Caenorhabditis elegans: one gene and its partners. The protein of the gene in region 2 interacts with the protein of the main gene of each other region in a pairwise test. Each region holds a gene or a part of one and is shown on either strand. Other genes may lie near its edges.

What was found.
Region 1: the proteins of app-1 (region 2) and nas-22 interact in a two-hybrid assay, tested with the Caenorhabditis elegans proteins (one large-scale study listed by BioGRID).
Region 3: the proteins of app-1 (region 2) and rnp-4 interact in a two-hybrid assay, tested with the Caenorhabditis elegans proteins (one large-scale study listed by BioGRID).
Region 4: the proteins of app-1 (region 2) and nhr-129 interact in a two-hybrid assay, tested with the Caenorhabditis elegans proteins (one large-scale study listed by BioGRID).

What each region holds. Positions count from the first base shown.
Region 1 is NC_003283.11:11,472,594-11,479,208, forward strand, and holds nas-22 (Zinc metalloproteinase nas-22), read left to right. Parts: upstream 1-2,105; 5' UTR 2,106-2,117; coding exon 2,118-2,322; intron 2,323-2,365; coding exon 2,366-2,759; intron 2,760-3,344; exon of another isoform or gene 3,345-3,397; intron 3,398-3,449; exon of another isoform or gene 3,450-3,530; coding exon of another isoform or gene 3,531-3,798; intron 3,799-3,842; coding exon of another isoform or gene 3,843-3,915; intron 3,916-3,971; coding exon of another isoform or gene 3,972-4,085; intron 4,086-4,135; coding exon of another isoform or gene 4,136-4,313; intron 4,314-4,712; coding exon 4,713-5,067; intron 5,068-5,115; coding exon 5,116-5,265; 3' UTR 5,266-5,414; downstream 5,415-6,615. Other genes in the region: Zinc metalloproteinase-like protein nas-21, read left to right, coding at 1-190, 233-620, 667-851, 901-1,016, 1,064-1,306; T11F9.7 (YkgJ family cysteine cluster protein), read left to right, coding at 3,531-3,798, 3,843-3,915, 3,972-4,085, 4,136-4,313. UniProt on the Caenorhabditis elegans protein: Metalloprotease.
Region 2 is NC_003279.8:4,963,392-4,968,991, reverse strand, and holds app-1 (Xaa-Pro aminopeptidase app-1), read left to right. Parts: upstream 1-1,902; 5' UTR 1,903-1,921; coding exon 1,922-2,041; intron 2,042-2,086; coding exon 2,087-2,467; intron 2,468-2,514; coding exon 2,515-2,949; intron 2,950-2,996; coding exon 2,997-3,050; intron 3,051-3,098; coding exon 3,099-3,238; intron 3,239-3,288; coding exon 3,289-3,656; intron 3,657-3,702; coding exon 3,703-3,875; intron 3,876-3,918; coding exon 3,919-4,098; 3' UTR 4,099-4,325; downstream 4,326-5,600. Other genes in the region: W03G9.5 (Protein kinase domain-containing protein), read left to right, coding at 1-176, 609-707, 752-985; Protein pid-4, read right to left, coding at 4,754-4,981, 5,029-5,178, 5,225-5,600. UniProt on the Caenorhabditis elegans protein: Catalyzes the removal of a penultimate prolyl residue from the N-termini of peptides, such as Arg-Pro-Pro. Has activity towards the flp-9 neuropeptide KPSFVRF-amide.
Region 3 is NC_003281.10:4,403,834-4,408,490, reverse strand, and holds rnp-4 (RNA-binding protein rnp-4), read right to left. Parts: upstream 2,206-4,657; 5' UTR 2,174-2,205; coding exon 2,099-2,173; intron 2,049-2,098; coding exon 1,803-2,048; intron 1,496-1,802; coding exon 1,388-1,495; 3' UTR 1,168-1,387; downstream 1-1,167. Other genes in the region: putative peroxiredoxin prdx-3, read right to left, coding at 143-232, 411-842, 889-1,047; snfc-5 (SWI/SNF Subunit INI1 DNA binding domain-containing protein), read right to left, coding at 2,415-2,550, 2,599-2,781, 2,826-3,413, 3,464-3,702; R07E5.17 (uncharacterized protein), read left to right, coding at 4,080-4,165, 4,212-4,361, 4,408-4,657.
Region 4 is NC_003283.11:13,327,968-13,333,237, reverse strand, and holds nhr-129 (Nuclear Hormone Receptor family), read left to right. Parts: upstream 1-2,218; 5' UTR 2,219-2,226; coding exon 2,227-2,271; intron 2,272-2,504; coding exon 2,505-2,694; intron 2,695-2,738; coding exon 2,739-3,082; intron 3,083-3,125; coding exon 3,126-3,235; intron 3,236-3,291; coding exon 3,292-3,498; intron 3,499-3,542; coding exon 3,543-3,649; intron 3,650-3,695; coding exon 3,696-3,955; 3' UTR 3,956-4,053; downstream 4,054-5,270. Other genes in the region: nhr-168 (Nuclear Hormone Receptor family), read left to right, coding at 273-887, 933-1,234, 1,283-1,389, 1,749-2,008; str-37 (Seven TM Receptor), read right to left, coding at 4,372-4,436, 4,481-4,850, 4,921-5,270.

The DNA of each region.
Region 1 (6,615 bases), on a different chromosome or scaffold from region 2:
TTCTTTATGCATATTGCTGTATTGAATTTTTATTTTCGATTTTCGAATGGAAATAAGATTGTAATGAGAGTCGGTGGTAGTCCTGAAACAAAAAGATTGGAGCGATCAAAGCGTCAAGCTTTACGCATGGACAATGAACCTCGATGGCCTCGTGGAACTATTAATTATTTTTTCGATGAACAACGTTTTGGTAAAACTTCAAATTCTGGCATTTTTAGTTATTCATTTTCAGATGAAAATTCGAGAGCAACCGTGCTGAGAGCAATGGAAAAAATATCTAACCACACATGTATCAAGTTTTCTCCAAAAGATGCACGAATAAAACTTCGAATTGTGAGTGATAAAGGATGCCAAGCGGCCATTGGACGAGTTGGGGGAGATCAGCAATATTTGAGTTTTCCTACATCTTGCTATAGTGTTGGAAGTGCAAGTGAGCTGATTCATGTAATTGGCTTTCTTCATTCTCATCAAAGGGCTGATCGTGACGAATACCTTAAGTTGAACTTGCAACCATGGAGATTGAATGATTGGTTTCAAACAATGCAGTATAAAAAGTATTTGGATCAATGGTGGATTGTACCATATGATTATGGTAGTATCATGCAATACCATGATTCTGAGTAAGTATGTTTTTGGTGAGAAAATAATAAGTTTAAGAAATTCCAGTAATGAATATGGGCCTAAAAATTCAAAATACTTCCGAACAATGGGTTCGCAAATACCTTCGTATTTCGATTATCTGATGATTAACGAATACTACCAATGTTCTTGTGAAGGGGAAGAACAAATAAACTGCAAGAATCGAGGGTATCCAAATCCAGGAAATTGTTCTGAATGCAATTGTCCTCTCGGTTTTGGGGGCTGACTGTAGCGACGTTGCAAAACCAGCTGTCATTGTAGAATCATCTGAAGAGTGGAAAAATATAACTCTAAATTTGGATGCGGGCTATATGTCATTACAGAATGGAACCAAACTTCACCAAATAGATTTCGTATTCCGTTATCTTTCTATTTCCGTATGTAAATTATTATCACTTACATACAAATTCATTAGAAATTACAGGCACCAGCTAATAAGACTATCGAAGTCGATATTCGAGAGATTACTGGAGTAGAATGCAATTATGGTTGTTACATTGGTGGAATTGAAGTTAAAACTCACGAAGATCGACGAATGACTAGTCCGAGACTGTGCTGCAAGAATGATAATGAAATATACAAATCACGAAACAATCCAACAATTGTTATGGCATTTAACTCAGAAGGACTTGATAAATATAACATTTTCTACAGATTTACGGATTGAGATAAATTCTATTTTTACTTCCAGGCTTTTTGTGATTTTTTGCATGAAATTTCTGAAGAATAAATTTTAAATTCACAATACAATCGAAGGTTTTGACACGTTTATCATAATTTTGAAAGTCGACCAAAAAAAATTGTTTTATTATATTCTTCCATTTTAATTGAGCTTCAATAATTATAATTGAAACATTCGAAAATTATTCAAATAGACTATATTTTTTGGAGATTTTGGCATTTTGTCAAAACATTGGCTGATAACTTCGAAAATCTGGAAATTTTTTGAAGACTTTAAATGTGTCAGGCTAAATCACCACTTTCAACTTTAAAGGTCTTGAAATGTTGGGGAAACTTTGAAAAAATTCGACTTTAAGAGCATCCAAAAATTGAGAAAAATTGTCGGTATTTGATTGCAGCTCATTGTTAGATTAAGTAAACCAATTCTGTGAAGCTCTGATGCCTAGTTGCCGGAAGTACCACACAGGCCTGTTATTTAAATTTGTTTTGTTTTCCATTCCATTCAGTATATCATTTACTTTTTTCATTTACTTTCATTTAATCACAGTATATTTAGTCAACTATCATTTACAGTATAAAAACGCGTTACATATAATTTGCCACTTGTCTGCTCTCCAAAAATGATTGAAAAAAAAACAATCATCGAAACACTCCCTTCCGATTTCATAGTTTCTCAAATAGTCTTTGTGTACGTACAATTGGTGTTTTATTATTTTTGACTTACAAAAGAACTACTGTATTGTCATTTGAATGTATATAAAAGCACAATTGCAAGCACAGTCCTTGTAGACAGAAAAATGAAGTCGTTTTTTATTCTTCTCTCAATTTTACAAGAGTGCTATGGAAAGGATATTGTTGCAAGAATTGGTGGAAGAAATGTCGCCGAAAAAATTGGTGGAGCCCGTCATAGGAGACAAGTATTGATTCGTGGGTCAGATGAAGAGCGACGACATAAATGGTTCAACAATACAGTACATTATTATTTTTATGAAGAAAATTTCGGTTAGTGTTCATGTGATGCAAATTATTTCTCAAATTAATTAAGATTTCACTGTGAAAGAGTCAATACTTCGTGCAATGGAATTGATATCCAATCATACCTGCATTAAATTCTCAACAGAACCATCTGAAAAATCAATTCGAATGGAAAGTGATTCCACGACAATCGCATGTTATGCAGAAATTGGTCAGGTCCGAGAGAATCAACTTTTTAGTTTCAACTCAGACTGCTATTCTGCTGGTGTTGCCGTTCATGAACTTATTCACAGTTTGGGATTTATTCATGCACATCAGAGATCCGATAGAGATCAGTATCTCGAATTCAAGAAAAATCTCGATGAATTAAACCAAACTTATCAGGAACAATACAAAATTTGGGAATATCAAGAGATACTTGTTCCATATGATGTTGGGAGTGTCATGCAATATCCAAATGAAGAGTAAGTCGGGAATCTAGCCTAAATCCACTTATGTTTCACAAATGTTTAAAAAATGTGTTATTTGTTTAGAAACTTCTAATTTTCCTCAAGTTCAAATTCTAATTCTAATTTTCAAAAAAAAAATCTGAAAAGTTTTTGGGCATTTTGGGACATTTTCCAAACTGATGGTCTTTTAATATAGTTTTTTTCCGAACTCGGTAAAACGTTGCAACTTCATAGCACACTTTTGCAACTTCTTAGCCATCTTTTCATGTTTTAACTTCTTAACAAACCCCTGCATCTTCTCATAAGACTGTTGCAACTTCTTCGCAAAGATACAATTAAATTTCTTCTGGCGACGCACACGCTGCTATTCAGACAGCTCCTGCAAAGTTCTGCAGATTCCTGCAGACTTTAAACACGCGAGCACGCGCCGAAGAATGCGTTGCGGCTAGGTTTGTATTCGAATTGTTTTTCCTATTTTCATGGATTATTTGCAGATTTTTCGGTTTTTCTGATTTATTTTCAATACTTTTTTCACAAATTTATTTCTCCACACAAATTTTTATTTTTTTTACAGATGGAAGACGAGTCAAGCGCCAAGTATCCATACAGAGAGTCAATGCCACGTGCGGAAAGGGTATCAATGAAAGCTCTCCGTAAGTATTCATCGAAATAAAATAGTTATTGTTTTTATTGAAATATTTTTAGAAGACGAATGGAGACACTTGTTTATTACACGCGCTGAGGGAGAAAACAACATACACAACCCGAAAATTCCGGAGGACACAAATGATTTTGATGACGATATGCCTATTGAATGTAATGAATCAGAAGAAGAAAGCATCACTGGAGACCGTGAAGTGTTTTCTGTTCATCATAATGAAGAGGATGAAGACCAAGAAGATTCTAGCCAAATATGCGAAGAATCAGAACCACAGGAATTGTTCGAAATGTTCGGTATATAACATCTGCTGCTACACATACAGACCAAAATTGTGCCGTCGTACTGACAAACATTTCAAGGAGCTTCCAAGTGGACTTATCAATATTATTAAAGGTATATATGTTTACTTGAATGAAGTTTTAAACAGCAGCTTTCAGATCTCTCTCTGGACATTTCTGGATTGTACCTGCCTCAAACCCTATTGACAGGAAGAATTGATCTGAACGATGAGTGAGTTAACTAGATTCACATCTAAAAATAAATTCAAAATTCAACTACGTTTACAGGTTCGTCGCATCAATTGAAGTCGAGGATGCAGAAAAATCGAAGGAAATTCTGCGACGACGAAGGGAAAGACCGTTGGCATTGAGGCAGTTCAGTCATGCTCTTTCAAGAGCAATGTGAGTACCTTATATTGAAGCCTCATATCTAAATAGGAGCATTTTTGTAGGGCGAATCTTCGCACATATCATTATGATGTGACGACCGAGAAGATTGAGAGGTGTCCAATGAGAAACTCTTGCAAAGGACATTTAAAATGGGAGCAGATGCGAAAATATCGAGCTCAGTGCAAGAAGAATTTCAAAGACCCTAGCCTGGCGACTGTGGAGGATATGATGTCAAAATGAATTTCAAATTTTGCGACCCCAAACAATGCGTTAATCATGTTTTTTGTTAATTTGTTATATTTGTTAATTTATTTTGTTTTGTTAATTACCGGAAAAATGAAAATTTAACCGAAGTTAGAGTTATAATGAATAGAAAACATTTATACAGAGTAATTTTCAGCAAATATGAGCGTTTTATATGCAACCTAATGCAATCTGCAGCAACTTCGTGACAGAGTTCTGCAACTTCATAGCAGCTTTTTGCAACTTCTTATAATTGTTTTTATTAAGTTGCAGAAGTTTGCTAAGAAGTTGCAAGAGTGTGCTATGAAGTTGCAACGTTTTACCGAGAAGAATTAAATTTAAAATTCTTGTCAATGCCTCAAATTCATATGAAAACAAAACGTAGAAAAATTTTAGAGACGAGGAATATTACCCAGTAAGAAAATACCGTACAATGGCAAATACCATGGGATCTGCAATAGTAGCTTTCTACGACTACCTAATGATCAACAAGTACTATGAATGTTCTTGTGCAAATAATCTATCGTGTAAGAACCATGGATACCCAAATCCTTCAAATTGTTCACAATGTAATTGTCCATATGGATTTGGCGGAGCTGATTGTAGTCAACGCGCCGAGCCAGGTGCAACTTTTCAAGCAACTGAAACTTGGCAGAATGTCACAATTTCTTTAGACGCTGGATATAGATATTTGGAAAATAATCAGAAACTTCCGCAAGTTGATTTCATATATCAGTTTTTGTGGATTATGGTACATTTTTTCTCTGAGTGAATTGTTTTAAATTAAAATTAAATTTAGGCCCCAGCTAACAAAACAACACAAATTCGAGTGGAGAAGTTTGTAGAAGGAAAGTGTTTGCCTGGATGTATTCGGGGTGGTGTTGAAATAAAAACAAATGAAGATCCACGGTTGACAAGTCCACGTTTATGTTGTGAAGAAACTTCATAGATCCAGTCAAACTCCAACAATTGTCATGGCGTTCAACGAAGAAGGGATTGATGAATATAATATCTCATTTAGACATGTTTGATAAATATTCATGATTAAATTATACTCGCTACATAAGTTCACTTTAAATATGAAGTCTCAAATATACAGTTACAACAGAAGAACGACGTCACTAGTAATATTATTGATTCTACTCCGCCCATGTTTACACTATTTATGGCAACGCGCGGAAACCGTCAAGTGCCCGTTCATTCAGTAAATGGTGCAAACTCGAGTGTACTCTATCTTTAGCTTTGCGCTGGGGCGATAACGTGACCAATGAGGCTTTGCCGAGGTGCGTTTATTGCTGGTTGAAAACTTTTCCCAATTGCCCGCGATGTCCCCTGAAACATGGGTGGCATACGCAATTTTTGAACGCCTCTAGGAGGCAGAAAATCTTATTATAAGATCGGCTCTCATAATAAACTTGACATAAAATATGATATAAACATAGACGGAGGATATTATCATTTTCAACGTAGCTTATCACATCTTAACCGAATGTTCTCGAAATCTTATTTATTTATCGCAACCTTACTTCCCTTCCCTCTGTAATCCCATCGCAGTATTATTTTCTCTCGTACAGGCCTTGTTGAGCAAATCATTGCCAATGTTGATACAGTTCCATGATACGGGATCAATATATATACGAATGCGAATTTATCTGAAATCGAGCATGTTAACGGCTGATCTAGAAAATAACTTACATTCATCTCCGATTGATTCCGATTGAATGCTAATTTTAGAAAATCCGAAACTGGAAATATGAAGAACAAAGAATTTATAACTGCTTGAATCACAACACTGACAAAAAACATTTTTTGTATTTCAATCGTTTTCCTCGATGCAACAAGCTTCAGTGCACGAAGTCTAAATGGTATGGCAATTAGGGAAATAACCACTAAAAACAATGTAGTGGTGGTAACTGAACACATGGATACCAAAGAATACATGTATTGATTGTCGGTTACTGGCGGGAAGACAAACAAATTATTACATTGAACAATATGAGATATGACCATAAATTTCTAAATTTCATGCAATTAATGAGTCTTATTTTATAGTTATCAAACTTGTTCCAGTTCGATTTTGTATCGCTTTTGACTTTCTATAGCAAAAGTTGTGCTTCCTGTGAGATATAGAAAAATAACAAGCATATTTAATCGAAAAAGGTAGAAACTTCCGAATGTATGCCATAAAAGAAGTCTACTAAATGATTGGAAACTAGCATTATGTTTTAAACAGAGAGCTCTAAAAGCTAAACAATATAGAACACCAGAAAAAATATGAGGGTATCTGATAAGAGAAACA
Region 2 (5,600 bases):
CAGTTGTTATCGAGAAAGACATGACTGAAGTGGATCTGTCAAAGTTGCTGAATGTTCCGCAAAATGAGAGAAATATAACAATGGAAGAAATTATAGCTGCTGGTAAAACGACAGAGGAAGAGGGACTGAATACTGCTCAAGATGATACGATTGTTGAGGATGAAAATGGATTTTTGGTGAGATTTACGGCGAAAGTTGTTGTAGGTAGGCATGAGGTAGGCACGTAGATATGCAGATATGAGGTTGAGATCAGACCTATAGGCAGGCGCACGAGGGGTAGGCATGAGGAAGGCACAAAGTTAGGCAAGCAGAAAGTAGACAGGCAGGCATTAAGTTAGAACCAGGGAATGAATAATGAAGGCATGTATGAAGCCAGGCATAGGAAATGCAGTTTTGAGGTGCGCCTAGGCAGGTAGGTATGAGGTCAGAATAGGCATACGGGATCTGAGAATCAGGTAAGTGTGTGTTGCGTGTAGTTCTAATGCAAACGCGTAGGCAGGCATGGGGGAGCTCAATATTAATAATAAATCGTTATTAGGCAGGCATGCGGCAGGTAGATAGGCATGTAGGTAGGTGCCGTAGACAAGAGATATATTTGAAACATTCAGGGAAAACAAGAAGCCAAGCCGGCGACACCATCTGCTCGATCTGAAACCAGTAAGAAAGTGAAAAGGAGATATATTGCGAGAACACCATCGGCGCATAAGGTATAGAATACGTTATTCGACGTATTAAATTTTCCAATTTTCAGATTGAACAGATTGAAAAGAACTGGAAGAAGAAAGAGGAAGAAGCGAATAAAGAGAAGTTGCTGAAGAATGCACGGGCGGCACGAAGAGCCAAAGAAGATTTTATTGTTCCGGAGGATAATACGGTTCAAAAAAGAAAACTCGAGAGCACACAACTGTCGTCTGCAGTTTCCACGAAATCCACTAGAAGTATTGGAAAGAAGATTTTGCCGCCGAAATCATTTGAGCTTCATTGATAAATTTTATTTTTTAATTTTGTAGACACACAGACAGATGTAATCGTGCTAAAAATTACGATTTTGAAAAAAAACAATTTTTCTTTTTCTTAATTTTTTTGAATACGAAAGAATGAATTTCCAGACTGAAATTTTCATTATTCATTAATTTTCGCACGCGTAAATTTTTGGAGAGGAAATAAAAAACCGCGATGCGAGTTTGGGTTTTGCTGTTCACAGTTTGTTCAACAAATTTATTATGAGTATTTTTTAAAGGTTATTTTCTAAAATTCTAGACCTGAATTTCGAGCGAAACTCATTTTCAAATCTCCTCCTTTTTTGACCCATCAATAGAGCGCGCCTTCTCAGCTTTCGAGTCACCACCGATTAGAGGCCTGTGAGACCTCGTGTCATAAAAATTTCTGAAAAAAAGCGTGGATAATTCGTATCAGGACACGAATAAAGTTAATATTTTAAATGATCCACAGTGAAATTAACATTTTCATTGAAATTTTCGTCTTTTAATGATATTTCAAAACGTTTCCTTTGCGGTTTTCCAAGTTTCCACTTCTTGAGTCTAGAGATCTCGAGTCCGTAGATACTCTTCTCATTTTTTGGAACAGCGTTCGTTCTCGATTCGGCAGTTAATTTTTCATTTTAAAACATTTTTAGACTTCAAAAATAGTTATTTTTCAGTTTTCTTCTCAAAAAATTTCCACATCCTCTGTTGTTTTCATTCAATAGAATTCAGAGATGATTTTTGATTTCTGTATGTATAAAACCATTTGTGATTGCGTATTAAAACGATTGATCGACAATTTCGTCGTTGGTTTTATTCGTTATCAGCTCTAAAATTCGAGAAAAATGTGCAGACGATTAGACGCTTGGTTTTTAAATTTCTCTTTACAAGTTTAGCTTTAATTTTCTTTTTTTTTCAGATCGGGCAGAATTGGAGTGATGACAGCATTGGAAAAACTCGCAAAATTGAGATCCTTGTTCCATTCGGAACGGGTTCTCGCGCTCACTTCCAGCAAGCCGATGGTCGCGTATCTTCTCCCAAGCACTGACGCTCATCATGTTGGTTTTTAGGCTTCAAATAATCTTCTAAATGTTAATTTTCAGAGCGAATATCTAGCCGATTACGATTTTCGAGTGAAATTCCTGTCTGGTTTCAGTGGTTCCAATGCCTACGTTGTTGTTACCGATAGAGAAGCTCTCCTTTGGACTGATGGCCGATATTTCACTCAAGCCGGGAATCAGCTTGATTCCAACAGCTGGAAATTGATGAAACAAGGACAGCCCGATTCGATTACTGTCGTTGATTGGCTTGTGAGAGAGCTCGAGCGTGGATCCGTTATTGGATTTGATCCAACTCTGTCGACGTTCGACGCTGGTTCCAAGACATTTAAACGTCTGAAGGCAGCAGGTCTTCAACCAGTCTCGATTCCTGGAAATCTAGTCGACGAGTTCTGGACTGATCGGCCAAGACTCGCTGGTGAGCCAGTAAGTTGATAGATCTATACTGCGGGATTTAATGTTCCACTTTTCAGGTAGTCGTGCTCGATGTTGAAGACACTGGTCTTACAACTTCAAAAAAAGTCGAGAATCTTCGGGAGAAGCTGAAACAAAAAAAGTGCGACGCAGCTGTATTTACTCTTCTTGATGATGTTATGTGGCTTCTGAACATTAGAGGAAGTGATATCCCGTACAATCCTCTTGCATATTCATATCTCTTCGTGGCAATGCGCGAGATTCACGTATTTATCGACAATGAGAAACTCGATGAGAAATCTCGAGCCCATTTCCACAAATCGAATGTATCGATTCATCCATACGGAGAAGTCTATTCATGGATATCCAATTGGCTCAAGGCAAAAGAAGCGAGCAAAGAGCCTCACATGGTTTATCTCACACCAGAAACTAATTACGCTATTGGAAGCATTATTGGCGAAGAGAACTCGATGGTTGACACTTCCCTGGTTCAGGTAATTCCATGAATTTCTTGAAATTTTTGAAATTTAATCTTTTTCAGACCGCCAAGGCCACCAAAAACGATCATGAAATGCAAGGAATGAGAAACAGTCATGTAAGAATGGCTACAGCATCGTTTAGGATATAATTTAATTCTTTCTAGCTTCGTGATAGTGCTGCTCTTGTTGAGTTCCTTTGCTGGCTCGAAAAGGAGTTGCTCTCTGGAAAAAGATACACTGAAATCGAGTTAGCTGATAAGATAGACCATTTGAGAAGTCTTCAAGACAAATATGTTACTTTGAGGTTCGTTTGTTAAATATTTAAAACTACATTTAATTTATATTTATTTTCAGTTTTGATACCATATCAGCTGTCGGAGATCACGCAGCACTTCCCCATTACAAGCCTCTCGGAGAAAGTGGCAATCGTAAGGCTGCAGCCAATCAGGTGTTCCTCCTCGATTCTGGAGCTCATTATGGAGATGGAACAACCGATGTGACGAGAACTGTGTGGTACACGAACCCACCGAAAGAGTTCATTCTGCACAATACTCTTGTATTGAAGGGACACATTAATTTGGCACGGGCCAAGTTCCCTGATGGTATCTATGGTTCTCGTTTGGACACGCTGACTCGTGATGCTTTATGGAAGCTTGGTCTCGATTTTGAACATGGTACTGGACACGGTGTTGGACACTACCTTAACGTACACGAAGGACCGAGTAAGACGAAAACAGTAAATGTAACTGTTTGAATATTTATTTTCAGTCGGAATCGGTCATCGTAGTGTTCCAACCGGTGGAGAGCTTCATGCCAGCCAAGTGCTTACCATTGAGCCAGGATTCTATGCCAAGGAGAAGTACGGAATTCGAATTGAAAACTGTTACGAAACAGTTGAAGCTGTTGTCATGTCTAAAGCTCAGAACTTCTTGACATTCAAGGTATACCCAGATCCCAGGAACTTTATAAACTTATTAATTTCAGTCTCTCACTTTGGTGCCTATTCAAACTTCGATCGTCGACAAGTCTCTTCTGATTGAAGAGGAAATCAATTGGCTCAATCAATACCACGCTCGGGTTCTGAAGGAAGTTGGTGAACATCTTCAGAAACGCGGAAAAACGGATGAGCTGAAATGGCTCGCAGAAGCCTGTAAACCAATCTAAATATCTGGAACAATTACAACATGTTTTATATTATTTTAACCGGTCAACGTCTTGTTGAGCAAATTTGTGCTCAATTAACTATTTTTTATCACAATTTCTGGATCCTGGTGTAAAACTTATTCTCCCCGAATGATTCATCCGTATTCCCCTTTTTTTCTCCTGTCGTTCTTTCTCGCTTTTCCGTAGATTTCCTGTACTAATACTTGAGAATGAATCTTTTTCTTTTGTTAGTTGGAAAATTGAAACATAAATAACAATGCCGGCTAGCAGGTCTTAACAACTGTAAGCTAGAATGTTTGGTTGACGACATTTTGCTGTCGGATTTTGACATCGGTGCAGAGATTCAAGCCAAAGTGCTTACAAGTGAGCCAGGATTGGATGTAAGGTTAATAACGAATTTGAATTGAAAACTGTTGCGAAACTGATGAAGCTGTTGTGAACTGCATTCTCATAGATCCAAGATTCTCGCTTTTAACTTCTCCTCGATTTCCTGTATTTACAAATTCTTGAAAATGAATAATTTTTATTTGTTGATTCGTAAACTGAAATATTTAAAAAAAAGAAACAAAAATACGGACCAACGGGTCTTAACAAGTAAACTAGAATACGGTTTGATGACACAGATGAAAAATAATTAAAGCTTGAATATCAAGCACTAGTTGGCCGGCTTCATATAGCTGCCGCTCGCGGGAAATTTGAATTTTTGCGGAGATCTGTCCACGAATGGCTTCTTATTCTTATCGGCGATCCATGACGCTGGAATTGTGGAGATGCCCGGGGATGATTCCGCATTTTCAAGCCATTGATCTGTGCAGCATAGTCCCATGCAATCCCTATCCTCACAGAACAGCTTCGACATTGAGCTTTCTTTTGGTGGCAGCAACTGAAAATAGGATTTCGTTTTTGAAAAAGAGTAATATAAATTTATACCACAGCTGTTTCGATGTTACTCCAATCCTTTGGCTGGCCATTAAAAAAGCTGTTCTGGTAGATCTTCCGTTTTCCTGTATCAAATGATTTGATGTATGCACGACCCGTTTTCCTGATGTGCGCGATTCTCCGGGCAACATCTTCTTCGGTCTGAAAAAACAAGATACACTGGATGTGTATGAGAAAAATTGCTCACCTTGGCACCTTCAAATCGAACTTCAAGGATTGGAGTTGGGACATTCGCGAACTCCTGCGGCAATTTTCTCACAGTCAGATAATTCGTCTTCAGAGCTCTCATACTTCCTGTGTCAATCTCGATATACAAATCGAGTCCGGGTTGACTTTTGTGAGGACGAATACCACAGACATGACGAGCTCTTCGGAACATTGTACCCTCTTCCTGAAACTCCTGGAGGCACAAAATAACATTGACTCTCCAAAAATATGGCTTCATCGGCTTCCCATCTTCTTGTTTTCCTGATCTTTTGGGGTCTTTGTCGGTTCCAAACGTATCTCTTTGAAGATGTGATAGTTTGTTGTACCAAGCCAAGAATCGAGCGGAAAAATCTTTC
Region 3 (4,657 bases), on a different chromosome or scaffold from region 2:
TGGATTTTTCTGAAACCGTATATTTTCCAAAATTAATTTCAAAAAACTCGAGCTGAATGACACCTATTTATTTAAACCGACAAACTAAATCATCAATATGATAAATACAAAGAATAAAAATAATTGTTCTGTTTCTGTGTGATCACTTGTTGACCTTGTTGAAGTATTCCTTGCTGGTAGCGACTCCTGGCTTGATGGTTGGAGAATCCTCATGCCAATCAGCTGGGCAAACCTGAAAAATTAATTTTTTATTCGTCGAAATTTGTTTTAATGGACTAAAACTAGCCCGAAACGACCGATTTCCTTTTCAACAAAAATTTAAATATTTTTATGGCGGGCCAAAGTTTCGGAAAAAAAACATTGCATTTTTTTTGCTAGAAATTAAATTTTTTGTAAATTTCAAAATTCACCTCTCCGTGCTTATCAGAGAATTGGAATGCCTTGAGCACTCTCAAAGTCTCATCAACAGATCTTCCAACTGGAAGATCGTTACAAGTAGTGTGACGGACAGTTCCAGATGGATCAATGAGGAAAAGTCCACGGTATGAGAGTCCGGATTCCTTGTCGAGCACACCGAACGAGTCGGCGATCTTCTTGTTGAAATCAGCGAGCAAAGGGATGTCCATATCACCGAGTCCTCCGTCCTTGCGTGGAGTGTTAACCCAGGCCAAGTGAGAGAAGTGAGAATCACACGAGCACGCGACAACTTCAGCTCCAAGAGAACGGAACTCGTTTGCACGATCTCCGTATGCGATGATTTCAGTTGGGCATACAAAGGTGAAGTCAAGTGGATAGAAGAACATGACGAGCCATTTTCCTTTGTAGTCTTGATCAGAAATCACCTGGAATTAATTTTTGAAAAAAATATATATATTTGTTATTTTTAACCTTGAAGTCTCCATCAACGACAGCAGTTCCTTTGAAAGCTGGGACAGTATTTTTTGGTCCAAGTGGACGAAGTGACAAAAGAGCACGAGATGTGCTCAACTGGCGGGTGGCAACAGTAGGAACCGTGCGGCAAAGAGCTCGAACAGCAGAAGAAAACATCTGCAAAACTCAGATATTCAGAAATCTTTTTTTCCAGAATTTGATCTACGAAACAATTGAAGATATCAAATCGTTCCAAACTGGTTAACGATAAAAAGAAAATAGCAACAGCAGATAATTGAAAAATGGTCATTTTATTCACTGTTATTGCATGTGTCACATAGATAACAAAAATCGCAAAATTGAGAAGAGCGAGCGAGTTGAGACCAAATAGATATTTAAAATTTCGAATGGTAAATTGGGAAAGAGGACAAAAAATAAATAGAAAAGGAAAAACTTAACAGTGACGTGTAAAAAAACATAAAACGTGGATTGGAGAGGACAATTAAGTACGTGGTTTTCAGCGCTTTCCAGAAGTCTTCTTTCCCTTGACGAAGCACCAATCGACTTTGACATTCTGGCCGAGAAGATCTGTATCGTTGCTCTGATCAATAGCTTCGTTGGCTTCCTGGAAAATAAATAATTTATATTGATACCAGCCGTGGACCGCACCTCCGGCGCGGCCCCCCACTTCTGGGGCTGAAAACTAATTTTTCTGAAACTACCGTAACCCTACAGTATTCCTACCGTACCACTATTGTACCACTACAGTACCCCGACTATATCCCTACACTAACCCCAACTCACTATCCCCACAGAAGCCAAAACTTCACAGACTACAAAGACTACATAGACTACAAACTATGGACACACAGAATAAGCGCTTTATATATAGTAAATGATTTCGATAGAAACGACGACTGCTAAAATATTACCTTCTGCGTTTCGTACTCCACCAGTGCGTATCCCTTCAAAAAACCGGTTCGTCTGTCGAGATTCAAATGAATGTTCTTAATTTTTCCGTACTCGGAAAACTTGTCATGAACATCATCTTCTGTTGCCTCTTCGTGAATGTTTGTCACGAAGACAATCCATCCTTCAACGGATCTTTGTGGTGCTCCGCTTGTGGCAGACGACTCTTCATCGACCACGTCGTAGGTGATCCTCTCGCGATTGCGACTCTAGAAAAATATATTATTGATTATTGATTACAAAATTCGACAAAATTTACCTGCGCAAGTCCTCGACCTCTTGATCTCTCGGCGTTGGCCACCACATCCTCCATCTCTACTTCGTTGTCGCTCATTTTTCTCTTCAAGCGATTGAGACGATCGGGCTCTGAAATTTTATTTATTTATATTTTCAGTTAGATCATTCAGTTTGAAAACCGCCACAAGTTCCTATTGGAAAGAGCAGTTTACACGAGAAAATGTAGAGAAAAGATCGAGGAAAGAATAAATTAAAAGAAAGTGCACATTAAAAATATTGAGATAAAATGGTTAAAATTCGTTAAATACAGGTTGATTTCGTAGAGATCAGTAGATACTTCAATAGTTGAATCCACCGCCAACAAGACGACGCATTCTTCTCGTGTTTCTGTCTTGATCACGCATCTTCTTTTCGATTTCAGCGTCGGTTAAAGTTTCGAGGAATGGACCCCAAGATTCGACTTCAGATGATGTTCTGAATAGCATTGGTTTGCAAAAATTCATTATTTCATATCAAATTTACCTGAACGGGCAATCAACAGTGGCCAGTGGGCTTTCTGAAAACGCATATGTTCTTTGATTCCATTGTAACTGTCCGCGAATTGAATATGCAATTCCTGACATAAATTCACCACCGAGGCCAAGCTCTTTGCAGATGTTTCGTGAAAACTCTTCCGGGCTGTTATTAGGATCCGACATATCCCACCTGAAGTTAAAATGAATTGTCAGTCTTTAGCATTTCCAACATACTCGAATTGATCAACCAAACTCTGGTTTCCAACATTAATATTCAACTTGAGAACGGCTCTCTGATCACAAATGTTCACATCCAATGGTGGCGCTTCTGTAGAAGCTTCGAGCTGCTGATTAATTGCTGCAGTAATAGCAGGCTGGAAAACTGCCAATGGTAGATCAAGATCTTCACACATAATTTCGGCAATCATCTCGGGAGTGATCATTTTCTCGTTTTTATTGAAAGTGAACGTATCGCGAAGTTTGATTCCATCCAACTCCATATCCAATCGAATTGGCACAAGATCTTCTCCTTCCTCAGCATTTTTCATCACTCGTTTCGACATTTCTAAATCTTCTGCTGAATATACTAATTCACGATGCTTCATTCTTCCTCTAGAATGAGCTATCGGACAAGAACATGGAACGGATTCGAGATGATGTGAACCGCTGGTGACTTGTTGTCCTGCCCATCCAGTTGCAGGAGTTTTAGCGACAGTTCTAGAAGCTCCTTCAGTTCTTGGAGTTGAAGGCGCTGCTCCAGCCGCTCGGTACTTTTCTTCGGAACCATCGAGAAGCTCATCTACTTCATGCGCTCTCAGCAGCCTGTAAAATACTTGCCGAATGAAATTTGACACTTTGGTTTTTATACTCACATGATATTAGTATGCAAAAAAGCATTTGACATTGCAATTTGCTTCAGCTTGTCTTTGTCATCCGAAGTTGCAACTTTTCTCCATAATAATGGATACTTCTTGTAGAGAGTTCCACGATGGAGACGAAGATAGGCACCTATTTCAGAACCGATGTAGTATCTTTCTCCGGCTTCATCTAGACTGAAGCTCTGAGGACGTGGTCCGTAAGTTTGAGACAACGTTTTCGTGCTGCTCGACATTACCTGAAACATAATACGAATATGTCAAGAACTGGGAGTAAAATGCGACGAAACGGATAATTTCAAATAGCAGTGGTTGTAAACGCTATTCTAATAGAAAAACAATAAATTATGATAGTAATTCAAATGATTTAAGCTGAAACAAATTATATATTTCAAGAAAAAAACATGAAAAACATGAAAACAGAAGCGAATACCGTTCAAAATTCGAGTAATAAATTCTGTTCTACGCGAAGCGTGCCGCGTGCGTATCTCAAGGGGGCGCAATTGCACACTACCAAATTTCGGCAACTAAAATTGGAATTACCATGGAAACGAAGGAATTGAAGAGAAAGGGGTCATGGAAAAATGTGTTCCTAGCAATATATACGTTTTAGATGAAATTTATTATTATCTGCAACTGGTTACTTTTTCTTCTATGTTATAAATGGCTTGGTAATTGGGAAATTCCAATTAACCTGGGGTATGTACATATTTCGGATTCTAAAAAAACGGTTTATTTCTTCTAGATTTGATCCGTTTCGCGTAGTTGGAGGTTTTCCTACTCTTGTTGATTCTTTCTTTCAAGATTTTTTTGAAAAACCAACAGATAGCTCGAAAACTTCAACATTTCCTCTTGATGATCTACAGTACCCAGTTGTAACACCTCAGTTGGCCCGGTATCACAATAATTGTTTTTTGACAGAAAAATTAATAGAATTTCAGTAAAATGAAATGGAATTGTTCAATAATTCAATCTTCGGATAAATGTTTCACTGTTATCAAATCATCGGAGTGTCTAGCTTCTACTCAATTTTCTTATAACTTTTGGGAAAATTCTGAAGAAATGTCTGAATGTTTTCATAAATCCAAGGGAAATATGGAATGTAGAATACCTTTTCAAAATGGAAATATCTGTGAAAATGTGGTTGTTGGAATTCAAAAAAGTGGGAATAGTTCGATTTTCATAGAATTA
Region 4 (5,270 bases), on a different chromosome or scaffold from region 2:
ATAATCTTTGAAAATAAGAAACGTAAAAAATGTTCTAGTGAAAAGTTGTTTTTTTAATTTGAATTTTTAATTTACTTATTTTGATGCACATATTTCTGACGGGTTTTTTTTGAAAACAGAGCAGTGTTCCTGTCTGCCAGATCCGAGTGCATAGCGCTTGAAAAGCGGATTATTAGTCCTTTAATTTTATAAGAAATTTGGAAAAAAAAAATTGAAATGTTACTTGTTCACGTTCAGGTTCCATGCCCATTTCAAAAATTATCGTGTTACAGCTTCCATCAATAATTCAAAAAGAGCCCAACCGCACAGCAAGATCGGAATCCCCAGCACGTCAACGTCACCAGAGACCATCCGAATGTTCAATTTGTGGAAAAACTGCAAATGGATACCACTACGATGTACCATCCTGTAATGGATGCAAAACTTTCTTTAGAAGATTGTGCGTCTCGGAAAAAAGTTTTATTTGCAAAGCCGGCGGGGACTGTTTTAACTTGACAAAAAGAAAAGTTCCACTGAAATGTCGAGCATGTCGTTATGAGAAGTGTATATCAGAAGGAATGAATCCAAATGCAATGCTACTTGACGAAAAAGAAGCGACAGCTGAAAACTTTAAAAAATTGAAAAAGAGAGTAAATCAGTCAAACCCAAAAGATCCAGACGATGATAGTGGCGAAGATATTGAGCATCAAATCGAGAAAAAACAAGTAATCAAGGATGTTGCATGCATTGAAAATAAAATGCAAAAACTGGTGGATATGCTTAACTATTTGGAAAGGAAGGTAACAAAATTCCGAATGTCGGCATACAATCCCCACTGGAGCACATTACCCGGACTAGAAGCATTTCTTTTGTTAGAGAATAAAATTAGCCTTGCTGATAGATCTGGAGTATGTTTTTGTCAACATAGGTTAATTTGTATACTTTACTTTCAGCCAATGCCCGGGTGGCCGTTGAAAACTCAATCGAGTCCTCCGAAAATTCCGGAGTTTGGTAAAAAACCAACTGGCCCAGCATATTCCCCTGATCAGAAATGTTGGATCCTCTACGATTTGATGGTATCCATAGAATATGCAAAAACATTTATGTTTTTTCATCAACTTGATTCAAGAGACAGATTAGTTTTGATGAGATATGTTGCATTGGCTCTAATGAATTTACACATTTCTTATTTTACTGTTGCTAAAAAATATGATACAATTATTCATCCAGATGGGAAACTGGCACCAATGAAGAAGTGAGTTTGCAAAGAAAATATTTGCAAAATCAATTTTTAACCTTTCAGAGGAATGGTTTACGCGGAGACAGTTATGTCAATTGCTCCATTAATAAGATGTGAAATCCAGGAAACGGAGTTTGTTTTGCTAAAAGCAATATGTTTATGTAATCCAGGTAAGCTATCCGGCATTCGATGAAAACTTTCGGACGAATGTTGGCAAACTATTAGAAGTGTCTCAAATAAGTTCTGTAGTTTTGCCATTATGTTTCTAAGTTCAATTTTGCAATTTCTTTGCAAAATCTTTCCATAATTTTTTAGAAAACTTTCCCAGCAACTTCTGAAACCTTTATCTAAACCTTTTTCCATTGTTTTCAACATGTTTTTCAACTAGAAACTTTACATCGCCAAATACTTTTCCGAATCTGGTCAGAAATATGGTACCGAATCTAAAAAATAAATTACGGCAAAAAGTAGTTTTCAATAAAAAGATTACTAAAACACTCTGCGAGAAACGGAAAATTTCACTTTTTAGCGGTGCCTGACCTCTCGCAACACGCCCAAGAAATTCTTGGCAGGGAACGTGAACAGTACGCCGACGCTCTATTTGATCATTGCCTCCGAAACAGAAAAGACGGGCCGAGTCAGTTTGCTGAGCTGATTGGAATGGTCGACCTACTGGAGCGTCAACAAAGAATGCAGAAAGATTTACACCTGTTACACGTTGCACCATTTGTTTCCAAAATTCCTCAAAAGGATAAAATGTTGTTAGTAGATGATATTATGAATTTTTAGTTTTTATTTAAAGCCAATTTACTTAATTTGATTCTCTGAATTAGCTATTCTTGACTATGATTTCTTTGACAATTTTCGAGTACATTTTGTGATCTCAATAAATTATTTTGTTGTGTTTTGTTTCATTTTTTAATAGAAACATCATGGCTGATTTTCCAAAAAATATTTCATATGGCTCTATTTTTGTTTTTATTATCACATTTTTTGCAGAACATCACATGGACGAACCTAGTTGTTCCAATAGTCCTGTTGACCTTCCTGAGGTAATTTCATACACCTGCAATTTTGTAGCATAAGCATCCTAATGAAATGTTGAACCAAGTTTTTGTGATTAAATACTATATTTTCTCAAGTACCTGACAAGTATTATACCTGACAAGACAAGTATTATTATGAAGTAAATTCGCAGTATTTGCCAAAACTGGCAGATTCTGAGACAAAAAAAAAATGTTCGAGACACCATTAATATCTAAAAGTCAAATCAGTTGCTTTCCAGATCATTCCACAACTAAAAGTTTATGCTGAACGACCAAAAGATTGCTTCGTTTGTGGTGGCTCAGCGTCCGGATATCATTACGATGTACCTGCATGTAATGGATGTAAAACTTTTTTTAGAAGATATGTAATTTCAAAACGATTGTTCACTTGCAAACTTAATGATGATTGTTTTGATTTATCAACTAGAGGTTTGCAAGGAAATGAAGTTATTAGAAAATCAATCAGTTTCCAGATGTTCCTGTTAAATGTCGAGCATGTCGAATCAACAAATGTTTTGCAGTTGGGATGAATCCTCACGCGTTAGAAGTAGATAAAACGAACACAGATTGTTTGAAAGAAGTAACCAAACGTAAAAACATGATAGGCAACGATGCTGTAAATGAAAAGCAATTGGTCTTGAACAGTTTGGAATCGATGGAAAACAAAATTCAAAAAATCGCTGACATGTTGACGTACCTTGAATTAAAGTTGGATCAATTTCGAGCATCTTCTTACAATCCACATTGGGCCGAAGTTCGCGGATTGGAATTTGTGTTGAATAGTACAAATCGAATCAGTTTGGCAGACAAGTTTGGGGTATTTAAAGTCGCGCATATTCGTCTGAAAAATGATTTTTTAGCCAATGCCCGGATGGCCTCTTCTCGATAACAATCTGTCCCCATCCCGTCCTCCGCCTTTATCACACGAAAAATTAGTTATAGGTGGACCACCTCCTTACTCTCCAAAAAAGTAAGTCACATCACATAAATTGGGAAAAAACTTACAGTTAAGAACGAGTAATTCAGAAAGCATTGGCTCTATTTTAACATGCTTGCAACAATAGAATACGCCAAAACTTTCATGTTTTTCCATGAGCTTCTACCAAGAGATCAACTTATTCTGATCAGATATACAACACTGGCATGTGTGAATCTACTAGTTTCATTTTCGTCCGTTTCAAAAAAATATGACACTGCAGTACATCCAGATGGAACCCTTCAAATGCACAGGAAGTAAGGCAGAAGTAATCTAACTTCTAATACCACCTGAATTTCAGTCAAGAATATTATTCAAGCAATGTCATGTCAATTATTCCACTAATACGGTATCAAGTTCAACAAATTGAGTATGTCTTACTAAAAGCTATTTGCCTATGCAATCCAGGTAACAATTTTCCATTACTTGTATGACTAGTTATTGATTGTTTCAGCCGTTCCTGATCTTTCCAAGCATGCACAGCTTCTGTTGGCCGAGGAACGACAGAAGTACTCTGAAGCTCTACTCGATCATTGTATTCGAAACATTGGAAATGGTCCAAGCCGTTTCACTGATTTAATTGGAATAATTGATGTTTTGGAACGACAGCAAAGAATGCAAAAAGATCTACATCTATTATATATTGCACCGCTTGTTGCAAAAACACCAAAGGATAATATCGTGCAAATAATTGAAGATGTTATGGATTCATAATACTTTTTTGTGGATAATGGATTTTCTGGGTTTATTCAGCTTTTATTTTGAAGTTTTAAATTTCTTATTTTGATAATAAATATCATTTCATTAAAAAATTATTAATTAAAGTTTTTTAATAAATAACTGCACATAGTGCCGGTAGTGGCCGTTTTTAGAGATTTAACTTTTGAAGATTTGGCATTACGTACTAGAATTTTCGTATGTTGAGAAATACATTTTATTCTATCGATTTACATAAGGAACTAATTTTGCAAAGTTAAGATTGATTGGTTCTTGGAATAACAACAGTGGTAAAACGGGCCAAGCTTAAAGTTGACGTGATACGGACTTCAATAAAAAGGCAAATAATTAACATCATTTGCACATGATAATCAACATGTATTTTCTAAACAAAAAACCTGAACGAAATACATTCAGGCAAAATTTGTTAACGAAGTTTGATTAGTGGTGTCGACTGTGTTAGAACATTTGAAAATTTCTGAAAATAATTTAAATTATAAAATATTTCACCAAAGGGCTAACTTCTAATGCACACTTTATATTCAGAAACAATAAGCATGACAGCAATACTGTCCAGTGACGGATAAAAACTGATTCCCCAATGATAAATACTCGAATTAAAACTGACTTCAAGATTCAGAATAGGCGTGCTCAATAATATCATCATTGGGAATGTTAGGAAGATAGTTGGAAGGGCGATTTGTATTATTATTGTTTTGAAAAACTGATTTTCAAGTTTTCGATATTCCGGTGAGACATGTTCCAATTGTTTCAATAAGTTGTGTCGCATTTTTAACGCACAATAAATAATTATTGAGTAGAGACTGTTCAAAATTATGGCTCCTATGAAACAGTACGATAAGTTTTTCCAACGAAAATTGTTGTTTTCATCCTAAAAATAACTTATTATAGGCGGGACTGGAAATGAGGCTGCCAGAATTTTTAACTAAACTAGAACTCACATATGCTACAAGGATCAATCTTGCAATTTCTGTAATATTTCTGGAATAAACGCGGTGAAATTCATCTTTTACATATTCATCAGCATAATCATCTGGCTGTAACATAATAAGAGGAGTCACACAAAATAGTGCTCCAACACCAATTACAAGTAAGACCCAAAGCCAGAGTATTTTTCCTTTGAAAGTTTGCAAAATGCGCGTATCATTTAGAAGAGTTGCGTATCGAAATATGAACTGCACCGCAATTATAGTAATCAAAGAGCAGTACATTCCGCCGTAAATATCAATGAAAATAGTCCAAAAATATAAAAAATCTTCAGAAAGAATTGTGTGACTGAAGTATGTTAAGC